Linked DNA regions of Rhinolophus ferrumequinum. The protein of the gene in region 2 interacts with the protein of the main gene of each other region in a biochemical or structural test. Links are inferred from orthologs where the notes say so. Each region holds a gene or a part of one and is shown on either strand. Other genes may lie near its edges.

The links.
Region 1: of the proteins of AURKA (region 2) and OTUD7B, one has a biochemical effect on the other in vitro, tested with the Homo sapiens proteins (2 studies listed by BioGRID, with this or other methods). The link is inferred for Rhinolophus ferrumequinum from reciprocal best matches to the Homo sapiens genes AURKA and OTUD7B.
Region 3: the proteins of AURKA (region 2) and GADD45A form a complex in vitro, tested with the Homo sapiens proteins (2 studies listed by BioGRID). The link is inferred for Rhinolophus ferrumequinum from reciprocal best matches to the Homo sapiens genes AURKA and GADD45A.

The regions. Positions count from the first base shown.
Region 1 is NC_046305.1:50,455,380-50,459,125, forward strand, and holds the start of OTUD7B (OTU domain-containing protein 7B), read right to left. Parts: upstream 2,283-3,746; 5' UTR 1,973-2,282; intron 1-1,972. UniProt on the Homo sapiens protein: Negative regulator of the non-canonical NF-kappa-B pathway that acts by mediating deubiquitination of TRAF3, an inhibitor of the NF-kappa-B pathway, thereby acting as a negative regulator of B-cell responses.
Region 2 is NC_046306.1:5,116,612-5,120,357, reverse strand, and holds the start of AURKA (aurora kinase A), read right to left. Parts: upstream 2,400-3,746; 5' UTR 2,279-2,399; intron 1-2,278. UniProt on the Homo sapiens protein: Mitotic serine/threonine kinase that contributes to the regulation of cell cycle progression.
Region 3 is NC_046292.1:49,812,146-49,815,891, forward strand, and holds the start of GADD45A (growth arrest and DNA damage-inducible protein GADD45 alpha), read left to right. Parts: upstream 1-1,446; 5' UTR 1,447-1,675; coding exon 1,676-1,719; intron 1,720-2,251; coding exon 2,252-2,353; intron 2,354-2,574; coding exon 2,575-2,812; intron 2,813-3,008; coding exon of another isoform or gene 3,009-3,055; intron 3,056-3,746. UniProt on the Homo sapiens protein: In T-cells, functions as a regulator of p38 MAPKs by inhibiting p88 phosphorylation and activity.

The DNA.
Region 1 (3,746 bases), on a different chromosome or scaffold from region 2:
TGACATAATTCCACCAAGTCCAACTAATAATTAGCATTCGTTACTGGTCAGCCTGCCTTATACAAGTCAGCAGACAGCCCTTCTTTTGGCAATGTTTACCTTTTTTTTCCACAAGAGTCTTTAGTCAAATCAGGCAACAACAACAACAAAATTAGTAATAGTTTGGGAACTATCTTCCTTCCATCTTTCCTCCCTGCTTGAATGCGTAATGTCCACAGTGGATATCTGTTCAATTCTAAATTATTCATGTTAATGGATAATTATCAGCAGAAAGGTGCTGATACTCCAAAATGGAAAAAATTGAAAACTAACCTATTTCAGTTTTGGACTATCTTTTCAGCGTATTTACCTTCTCAATTATTCCTAGCACGAACTAATATTTGTGCTCATTTACAATCCCTAAGTACATAGTAACTGGCCACTTACTCAGGGAGGGGCTCTGAGCCATGCCTGGTAGCTTGTGGAAAGTAGGGCAGACTGGTATTCAGACCCCAGGTGAGCAGCACCAATTTCATTTATTTTACAGTTCTGGTCAGCCTTCAAGATTATCAACAGACTAGCACAGCAGTACGGTTACTAAACTTTAAAGAACTGCTCAAAAGAACAATGAGGACAAAGAGTATAATTGTTTGCCTATAATGTATTCATTTGTAAATTATGCAGAGCAAATGTTTAATTACAAGTCTGATTCTCCCCAGGCACCCGCTTAAGTCCCTGCAGTCTCTTCACCCCATCAGGAATGCAAGGTCGCTTACTACGAAGAACATTTGCAAAGTTATATAGTGTGGGAAATATTTTTAAAAAGATTTAGGATTAGCGACGCTTTGGGACTAGCCTTACCACCACCTCTTCTGCCTACTTTGTCCTTTCCCACCTTAGAAATAGGTTCTGAAAAACAAAGGGATCCGGCCTCCTCAGTGATCCCCTAACTATACAGCATGAGAAACCAAAGACTGAAAAAATTACCAGGTTCTGATTTTCTAAAAAGCATTTTATATACGTACTTATAGAAAGACAAGGAAAATACAAGTCAAAGTGCCGCTAATTCTTGCTTTTGCATTCATGAAAACTCCCTGTAGAGTTTGGGGAGAATCTCTTACATAAAATTTCCGCTTCTTTCAGCTTAATATTCATATCTGTATTTTGCCCAGAAGAGCCACCTACGTTAGTTAGACCGACTACCTAGACGGGGAGAGAGAGGGAGAGAGGGGGGAAAGGCGGGGGGGGGGGGCGGAGAGAGACAGATTGCTGGTCCTTGTGAGCCGACAGGCTAAAAATACGCCGGCCCAGTAAACAAATCCCATTCCATCCCGACCAGAGCCACACCGTTAACCTAGCAATTATGAGAAGAGGAGTGAGATCACGCAGCCCCCAGCTTACTCATCATCAGCTTCTAAAGTTTCCATCGGCTCATGGCAACTTTCCTTTTTTCTAAAGTTCATAAGCCTGCCCGAGAATCTCCCCCCCCCAACACACGCACACTTCTTTTTCGCTCCCTTCCTCCATTACTGGACGCACCTCAGTTTGGATATCGACGGGGGGGAGAGAACAAGCTGGTTGCCTTTCCATTTCACTTTTACCTTGAGACTTTAAAATGAACTTGATCCTACGATGGGGTAGTAGTAGCCTGCGCTCCTAACCACCTTAAAACTCCACCATCCCTCCCGGAAAGTCTGACAAGGGGGAACCGTCCAAACTGCCCAGCACACTTGAAAGGGAGGCCAGGAACGGGGGAGGGGGCGAGGAACGCGGGGCGCAGGTGAGAGGGAGGAGTAACGGGGGAAAGGTTGGAACGAAGCAAGGCACAGTGAGGGCGAGGAGGGGGTGCCGAGAGGCGATGGCTCCGGGTGAAATATAATCAGAAAGGAGAAGGGGGACAGTGGAGATCAGGGGGTCAGAGTTTGAGAGACTGAAGAGGTGCGAGGGGCGAGAGCAGACGGGGGGTGGGTGACAGGGCGGGGGGCTCCGTTACCCTCGCGGCTCCCGGGGCAAGGCCCTAGGCCGGGGCGGAGCGCGGGGCCCGGCCGCCTCTCCTCATTCCTCTGCTGTGACCCCGGGGTCCGGCCGGCCCCTCCCCCGACGACGATGGAAGCGGAGGCGGTGGCGGAGACTGCGACCGCGGCTGTTGCTCCGCACAGGATCAGGAGCTGGAGCCAGACGGGACTGATCCACACTGGCCTCCCCCAGTGGCTTTTTGCCTACTCCACACCCGGCCGCCACTCCGGCTCCGGCGACTGGTTCAGGATCGGTGATTTTCGGCCGTCCGGCCGGAAACAAGCGCCAGTTTCCGGCCGGAGCGGGTTGGTGGTGACACCCAAGCCGCCCCCGGGCCTCCTCCCGCCCCGCCCCGCCCCGCCCCGCCCCGTAGCAGCCCCGCCTTTTGCGCCGCTCCCGGAGCCGCGGCCAATTTGGCGCTTGCCCCGCGCGTGACCCCGTGTTTGCCTGGGCGCTGTTCCTAGCGCCCCTGGTCTGGAGAGTTCTTGAACCAGGGCTGGAGGGAGACAAGGTGAACTCTTGAGACTTTGAGGTGGACCTCGTTGGCCACAGCCCTTCGGGAAGAAGCAGAAAGGGGCGGGGGGTGGCTCTAGAAAGGTGAGAGGGATGAAAATACTTCAGAATGAGAAGACTGAAATTCTAGTTACTCTACTCAATCACTCTGGACTGACCAGAGGAAAATTAACAACGCTTCTTCCAGACGAGTCTCTGCCCAGTTATGCCCTCTCCATCCTTCGCTCACGAAGTGAACGTACACTTCTCTATAAACACCCGATATTTATTAACGATGATGCCCTATTGACACATCTGCCTTAGACTCAGCACGATCAAAGAAAAGTTACGTAGCACTTTTTTGGGTAATGCCTTTTAACAGCATGACAGCATAATTCAATTCAACAAATATTGATTGAGTCCCTACTGTGTGCAAGGCACTGCTCACCGACACTGGGAACACAAATAAAAGGAACAAGACAATTCCAGGCGTCAGGGATCTTACACTTTAGTAAAACACATAAAACTATATTCTATAAAGCAGAACTCACATACGTGCGGTGTGAGTTGCAATGGCCCTGAGAACAGAAGCTTGCCTGACACATAACAGACCTTCCGTGTTTGATGACTGAATAAATAAATATTAGGAGAATGCGGACTGTTTCAGGTGAGACGTGCCATTTAATAAATACCTCTTATGATAAACACAAAATGAGGCCAGTCCCTGCTATAGTCTGACCAAAGAAATCCTAAATTTTCATTCAGATTCCTAACATTATGGCACCTGGTCCTCATATTCTAAATGTTTATTGTCTACATTGCCCCTATTTGGTCTATTTAAAAACAAACATTACTATCAACTTTTCTGTCTCCTCACTACTTGCTGAAGTCCTCAGTTTCAAAACAGGAGGGGTAGAGCATAGATGTTTTAGAATTATCCAGCTCAAGGCTAGAATGGAAAATCGACACCTGAAACAGGAAACTTCCTAGACATCTGTATCTCTTGGGGATACCCTGGGTTTAGAGTTGAAGATTTGGGGCTGGGCCTAGGGCCATACCAAGTCCAAGCAGGTCAGCATGCCTTGCGTGAGGCACGCGCAGGACTAACTAACAATACAGGTTAGCAGGCAGAACCATTTGACCTGGGCTTCAAGCACGTGGGGACTACACATTTTGGCTACGGCTCAGTAGCAAATTTGAGGGGAAGAGTAGGATGAGAACTTGGTCATTTAAGTTGATCCGAACTGAACTCCATGGAT
Region 2 (3,746 bases):
CTCCCATTTATTAGTCAACTTTCTGACTGACCCCTACTATCCAAAACCAAAAGTCAATTCTCCGCCTCCATCTTACTTGCATTCTAGGCAGCATGACAAGCTCCATCGCTCCTTTTCCACTCCTTTCTTCACTTAGCTTAGACTTAGGCCTATGAAGTCTCAGAACCTGGACCCTGACCACCTCTCCATCCTTATCTCTTGTCTACTGCACACCAGCCATACGGGGTTCCTTTCTTTCCTCAAAGGAGTTCCCTGCCACAGGGCCTTTGCACTTCCTGTTCCCTCTACCTATAAGGCTTTTCCCCCAATAGAAGTGCGGCTTGCTCCTTCACTTCAGTCTATGCTCAAATGTCCCCTATCAGACCACCTCTCCTGCGTTTTTCTTCATATCCCTTACTTAACATTTTACTTACATAACATTACTTGTACTTGCTTCCTGTCTACCCAGACTCCAGCTACCTGTTCAGTATCTCCAAAGAGAGTAAGCTCCAGGAGAACAAGGAATCAGTCCCATTTTTTTCACTATCTCCCTCAGAACCCAGAACACGCCTGGCATGTGGCATGTATGCCAATGTATGGGGAACAAATAAATCCATTAACAAAGCAAATCAACCATAAAAGTAGTTTACAACACGTGGTAAGCCCATACTGTGAATCAGGCAGCAACCTGTCAAGTAAGTAGATCATCAATAAGCAGAAATCTTTCTGTATTTTTCTCACCCAGGTGCTCTCTGAATTCTAGAATCCAATTAGAAAGCATTCCCACACTAGGCTTTCACATCCACTTATTGTACATGCAAATCACTGCACCTTGAAGATGGGACCAGGGCTGTAGAGGTTAGCATCCTTATATCAAACAGTGGGTAGGAGAAACAATAGATAAAAAGGAGAAGGAAATATATGCTCATGTGTTGCAAATGTTAATCTCACACACCCTACTGCTTGCTTTCCTCTCCCTAACAATTAATTATAAGCAGCAGACTAAGGAAATCACGTAGACCTAAGGACACCTATTCAACGTTCTTCCACAGAAACTGCAGACATGGGCTCCACTTTGATATCCTTCTCAGGTAGATTAATAATAATAAGCACAAGGAATAAGATTTTGATCCAGAAATTCTGGAGAGAGCACCCGGAAGACAGCTTCTCAGGTGCTTCTGGTGTGGAGCCAAGTTCAGGAGTCACATGACCAGATGACCTTCACAAGATCCCTGCAGTTCAAACCAGCGATCCTGGTATTCTACACAGGAAAACTGTTAGATAAGCCCTGTGGGCTTAGACTTTTCCTTCCTTCGTGCAACCTAGTAATATCTGCATACATGAAGAGGGGTGGAGAGGAAATGAAATGAGGTATGTTGCTGAAAAGGATTTAATTCAAACAAGCAAAGCTGAGGAGGAGACATTAGACGTCAAGAGCAGTCGCTACATATACATCACAAGGACAGTTCGAAATAGAGACTTTCAGGCCCACCCCAGACCTAACAAATCAGATCCTGCATTTTAACAACATTCCCAGATGCGCCGGTCTAGATCACTAGTTGTCAAACATCAGTACCACCTGGGGAGCTTGATAAAAGTAGACACCTGAGTCCTATGCCCAAGCCCTTCGTGATTCATTGGGTGGGCCTCTGTGCTTAAGAAAAACGCCCAAGTAATTTCGATATAGGCGGTCTAAGGTTTGAAAAGCCCAGGAAGGCTTCTGACTATCATGGATTCACCCCCTCGTCCATCCAGCCAGGGCAAGGGCCTTTCCTGGCTGTTCTACCCAAGGCAGCCCCCGGTAAAGCGCACACACACTGTTTTATCTCTTTCCTACCACTCATCACTATTGGAAGTTACCCTTGCTAGTTCGTCGTCTGTCTCCCCACCCCCACTAGAAATAAACTCCAAGACAGCACACACCTTCTGTATTTTTTTCTTACTCAGGCGCTCACTGAATAGGAGAATCCCAACAGAAAACATCCCACCCCAACAACGCCATTAACGCCAGGTGTTTAGTAAACACTAAGCGGCATTTCACAGGGAGCCTTGGTACCCAGGAGCAGCTAGATGGGAGAGCGTTTGCAAAGCGCACGGGAGACGGAGAACAGGGAAAGGGGGACAAAGAGAGGATGGAGGGAGGGACAAGCGTAGGACAGAGGGGGACGGGGAACCAAGGGAGGCCTTCTCACCCCGACTCTTCCAGCCCGGGACTCGCGGCCTCAGTGCTCGCTTCCCTCTCACCCGGCCCGCCGCCCGCTCAAAAAGCCACCCAGCCCGGCCGCCTTTGCCTGCCCACCTCACAGAAGGACACCAAGGCCTAGGCACCTGTTGGCTCTCGCCTCCGACCCAAAGCCGCCGAGTCTTCCCGAGAGCCCAGCCGTTAGGATTCAAAGAGTCATTTTAAATAGGAGTTAAACTCTCTAATCCAAAAGCTGATTGGCCTGGGCTGGGGAGGCGCTGCATTTTCATTGGTTCACAGGCAACTCTGCGGATTGAGTCACGTCCAAGGACGGCAGACACGGCGCGCAGGCGTACTTGCGCGTTAGGTCCCGGAAGTGGTGGTGCCAACGGCCCTGCAGGCCTGTAGCTGTTCTAGCGCCCGCCGTGTTCTCCAGGGCTTGACTTTTGTCTGAGACAGAAGCCCCTTGGCTTCAGGGTTGTCTCGTAGGGGATAAAGTCGGAGGAGGTGAACGGACGGACCCCTTAAAGGCGCCAGTAAGTAAGATGGCGAGATGGACCGGAGAGAGTGGGCCGATCGATAGCGCAGCGCTCGGTGCGGCGTCCTTTGCGCGTGCGCAATGAAGGTGCGCTCGGAGTGATCAATCGGGCAGGATTCGCGCCTCCATTTTTCTAGCGGAGAGCAGGAGAACGTGAGAACCGGACAAGCGGGTACGAGGGCCCCGGATACGTGGAGAGTGGCTGGTGCCGTTGGCTGGGGCCTTTAGGGGACCATGGGAAGGATTGGGGTGAGGCGGGAAGGGTCGATAGTGAGCGAGGAGGCATGCGCCCTGAGTTGCCAGGTTGGGCCTGCACCCCCCCTGCTGCACACAGGCCTCGCTCCCACCCTCATTCCATCCTTACTTTGCCTCTGTGTCGGGACGGTAGCGGAGCGTTAAGTTCTGAGCTGTGTGTGTTCCCTCCCTGGTCCGTCTTCTGGCTCCTGGGTTGGGTTCTTCCTGTCCTCGTGCCTGGGCGTCCTCACCTGCAAATCGGGGGTGGTAATTAGGCGCTTACTAGCCCAGCGAACGAACTTTCCGTGGGAGTTGAGAAGCGGGGCTCGTCCTCTCTTTAATTTTTTTAACTCTCTGTGTACACCTCTTGTTGCTCTTGGCAGAAGTGGAGAGACGGGATAGAAAGCGATTAAGTTCTGGGCTCCGGTGTGGACGGTCTTGGCGGCCACTTTCACCTTGGACGAGTTACTCAGCCACATTTTACTTTCAGTGGGTCTCTTTGATCCAGTTTCATCATCTCTTTTGTGTCTACACAAGCATAGGTTTATATACATTCGCTTCTACTTGTACTTAAATACATTGAATGATGTTATGCAATGAGCTAATGCTTATAAAGTACTTAGCATGGAGTCTGGCAAGTGCTTAATAAATGTTAGCTGTTGTTCTTAACACCCATCAGTACAGCACAGTAAAACTCGGGCCCTGGGACCAAATAGACTGGTTAGGGTCCAGGCTGTGCCATTTACAAGCTGTTTGATTCTGGGTGAGTTAAATCTCTCTGGGCCTCAGGTTGCCCATCTCTAAAACAGGATT
Region 3 (3,746 bases), on a different chromosome or scaffold from region 2:
TGCTGACAAGGCAGTTAAGGATTAAGTGCAAAATGGCAGCTCAAATAAAAGAGCCAGAAAACCAACCTATCAGTTTTCTTTTCCACTAAATTAAGATCAAGAGAGTTGGAGAATATTTTGTCTAGAATGATACAAACATATAGGTGCAAAAATTCTCATATACCTTTGCAAAAAATTACTTCCGTGACCTTTGACTATACAATGACCCTAATAATGCAAGCACTGTTTTGAATGCAAGTATATGGAGGACATTTTCACAATGTTAGATGACTTCAGTGGTTTAAGACATTTTTTAAAAATTTATTGGATAAACTCATAACATGAAAAGAACTTTCAACCTATTCAGTGAAAGTTTGTACATTAAAGTTTGCTTTTCAAAAATGTGTCACTACTGCTTGCTTTCTACCCACAGGTTGTGATTATCTCAAAGGTGAAATTTTAGCATATGACTAAAAGGTCCTATAGCTACAGCTTCATGATTCAGCATCTAACATCAATAATTCACAGTGAGATCACAGGTTCTCTGTGGAAGGTAGTGACATACTTGCCTTATGAAAGGAAGCTTAAGGCATATTGAGAGCATTTTGAATTTAGACTTGTGGCTTGTGTGGGTGTCAGGCATTTGTTTCTTAGCTAGTGAGGGTGCAGAAGGATCCTCCTTTGGGAAAGGCTCTCTGAAAAAGGTGAATTTGGGTTGTAAGGCTAGGATACACACATGTGGTAGCCAGAACCTCCCCAACATGGTTTTCCAGAGTTATCCTGGGCAGGTGGGAACCCTTTCTGCTTTCTGTGGAAAAGATTCCAACTTGGTTCCCTGCCATGACCAAACACAAATGTGTTGATTTTTCTTTTTTGAGCTTCCAACCCTTGCAACCTTCCAAAAATAAATCAAACCAGCCATCAGGGCACCGAAATAATACTACTACTAATAAGCAGCTTTGCCTAGACTTACATAAACAACACTTCTGAGGTAAACTTTGCCCCAAAGGTCTGCACACACTCTTTTTTATGTAAACTTCTTACTAATAATTACTAGACTTGGGTGCATTAACCCCGAAAATAGATTTTAATAGCAACCCCTAAAAACAAAAGACATGAAACGACAATTAAAAAAAATGTGCACCAACTAGAAAAACACTTGGCAGCGTTCTGCAGCCCAAGCTGAAGACACCCCTCCTCCCTACTCCTTGCCACTGCAAAGACCTCCTTGTCCTGCCAACCCCCTCCACAGGATAAGAGAGCCTACTTGGGACCCCGCCCTCCCCTATCCCTAAGCTCGCCTTCCACGTAGCTCCTCCCCCTTCCGCTCCTCTCAGCCCTTGTTCCAGGAGCTGGGGTCAAATTGTCGGAGCAAGCTGATTTGCATAGCCCAATGGTTGCGCGTATGCAAATGAGGCGAGAGGTGGTTGGCTGGAGGGTAGCAGGATAACTCCAGTGAGCCCGGCCTTTGTCCTTCAGTGGCTGTGAGGCAGCTGCGGTGTTGGCGTCGCTGCTCTGGGCTAAGCGAGGCGAGGGGCCGGATAGCGAGCGGGGCGAGAGGGGCGGACCGCGCGGCGGCGGCGGGTGCTAGAGGAGCCTGGCCTGAGGGAGTGCACAGAGCCGGCGCCCGCGTGCCCACGGTGGCAGGAGCAGCCCGCACGCCGCTCTCTCTCTGTGGGGGACCTGCAGTTGCAATATGACTTTGGAGGAATTTTCGGCTGGAGAGCAAAAGACCGAAAGGTAAGTCGGCCGAAGCCTCTCCTTGAACTTGCACTCGCTGCGCCCACCAAAGTGCAACCAGGCTGTGGAAGGTTGCTGGGGAACGAGCGGGTAAAAGTTTGCAGAGAGCACCTCCGGCCTTTCCCCTACGGGAACCCTCCAGAGGGGCGCCGGCGGACGGAAAGAGTGTTTCCTCCCGAACCCGACCGAGCCCCTCTAGGCTGCCTTTGCAAAGGGCAGAAGCGACCCTCCCTGTCGTGCGGCTCCTGCGGCTGGCAGCCTGTGGCTGCGCCCTGCGCCAGGGACTGGCAGTCCGCTTGGGGCGGGGGGGTGGCGGGTGGCATTCTCGGGGATTCTAACAGGACACCCGGCCTCGGGGCGTGCGAGGGGTCATGGGGGGTGACGGGGCCGGGGTAGCCCCGGGCTTGCAGGAAGCTGAGGTGCGCGGTGACTCATGCACTCGGGAGGGAGGGTCGCGGTGCAGGGCGAGGGGGCGCCGAAGGTTCTGAGGAGACCCGGGCTGACGCGACCCTTTGCTCTTGCCGGTGTGTAGGATGGATAAGGTGGGGGATGCCCTCGAGGAAGTGCTGAGTAAAGCTCTGAGTCAGCGCACCATCACGGTCGGGGTGTACGAGGCGGCCAAGCTGCTCAACGTGTAAGTGGGGCCCCTCGCGTGTCCCTCGTGGCACCCCTTTCCACCCCCAACCCGGAGAGGTCGCCCAAGCCGGGTGCCCCTCGCCCTGCAGCGCCCCTTCCTGCTGCTTTCCATCTGCCCCAGAGGCAGCGAGCGGGTCCGGGCACGACCCCCGGGAGCCGGGTGGGTCCGCGCGGGCCCGCAGCGCCTCTGTGCTCACCCGCCCCTCCCGCTGCCCGCAGCGACCCGGATAACGTCGTTCTGTGCCTGCTGGCCGCGGACGAGGACGACGACAGAGATGTGGCTCTGCAGATCCACTTCACCCTGATCCAGGCATTCTGCTGCGAGAACGACATCAACATCCTGCGCGTCAGCAACCCGGGCCGGCTGGCGGAGCTCCTGCTCCTGGAGACCGACGCGAACCCCGCGGCGAGCGAGGGCGCGGAGCAGCCCCCAGACCTGCACTGCGTGCTGGTGACGGTAAGGGAGAAGGGAACTGCGGGCCCGCCCGTCGCGGTTTCGGAGTACTGGAAGGAAGTGAGCCAGGGCGGACAGTCTGCCTGACTGCAGAATAGGTGCCCGTCAAGCGCGTGGCTGCCTTTGCCCCATTAAAGAGTGTGGCAGGACTTTCAGCCGAGATGTGCCAGTTTCATCATCAGGATTTTCTCTGGTACAGAACATGCCTAAGCACGTCGGAGGCTGCCAGCAGCGGAAGAGATCCTTGTGAGTCAGCACTGTCAGCCCAACTACTCCCTACCTACATCTGTACTACCTCCCGTGACTAATTCCTTTAGCAGGGTAGATTAGATAAAGCCAAATAAATTCCTGGCTCACCCTCATTAAGGAGTCAGCTTCATTCTCTGCCAGTCAAAGCTAAAAATAGAAATGGTGTAGGAGACAAGCCTCATTAATTCCCTAGAAATACATAAAGAGGATAGAGTGGAAATTTTTTCTCTGCAATCTTGCATTTTTTTTTTTTTTTTTTAGTGGAGGGTTTCTTTTTTTTTGTTTTTTTTTAACCCCCTGATAAAAACCTTTGGTAGGTAGATAACTTGTAGGTGTAGAGGCAAATGTGATAGCTTTGTCTTTTATATTTTACTACTTTTTGGCTGGTCTAGTTAAGTGGCAGCCCAATTATTTTGTTACTCCTGAAAAAACTTTTTCTTTTTGGAGGATAACAGGTGGCAATTATGTAATAGTTAACTGCTATCAGCTCTCATCTCATTGTATGGGCAGCTAGAAATATTTCTCAGAAGTTGTTCACTCAGGTTTGTGCCACAGTACAAGTTTGGTAGGACAAACCTGTGAATGACACTCATGCAAAACTGAATAATTGTCATGCAAACATGTATGTGATTCAGTGGGTTGCATGAGTTCACACTTCGCAGGGTATAATTTAGTACAGAATTACCCT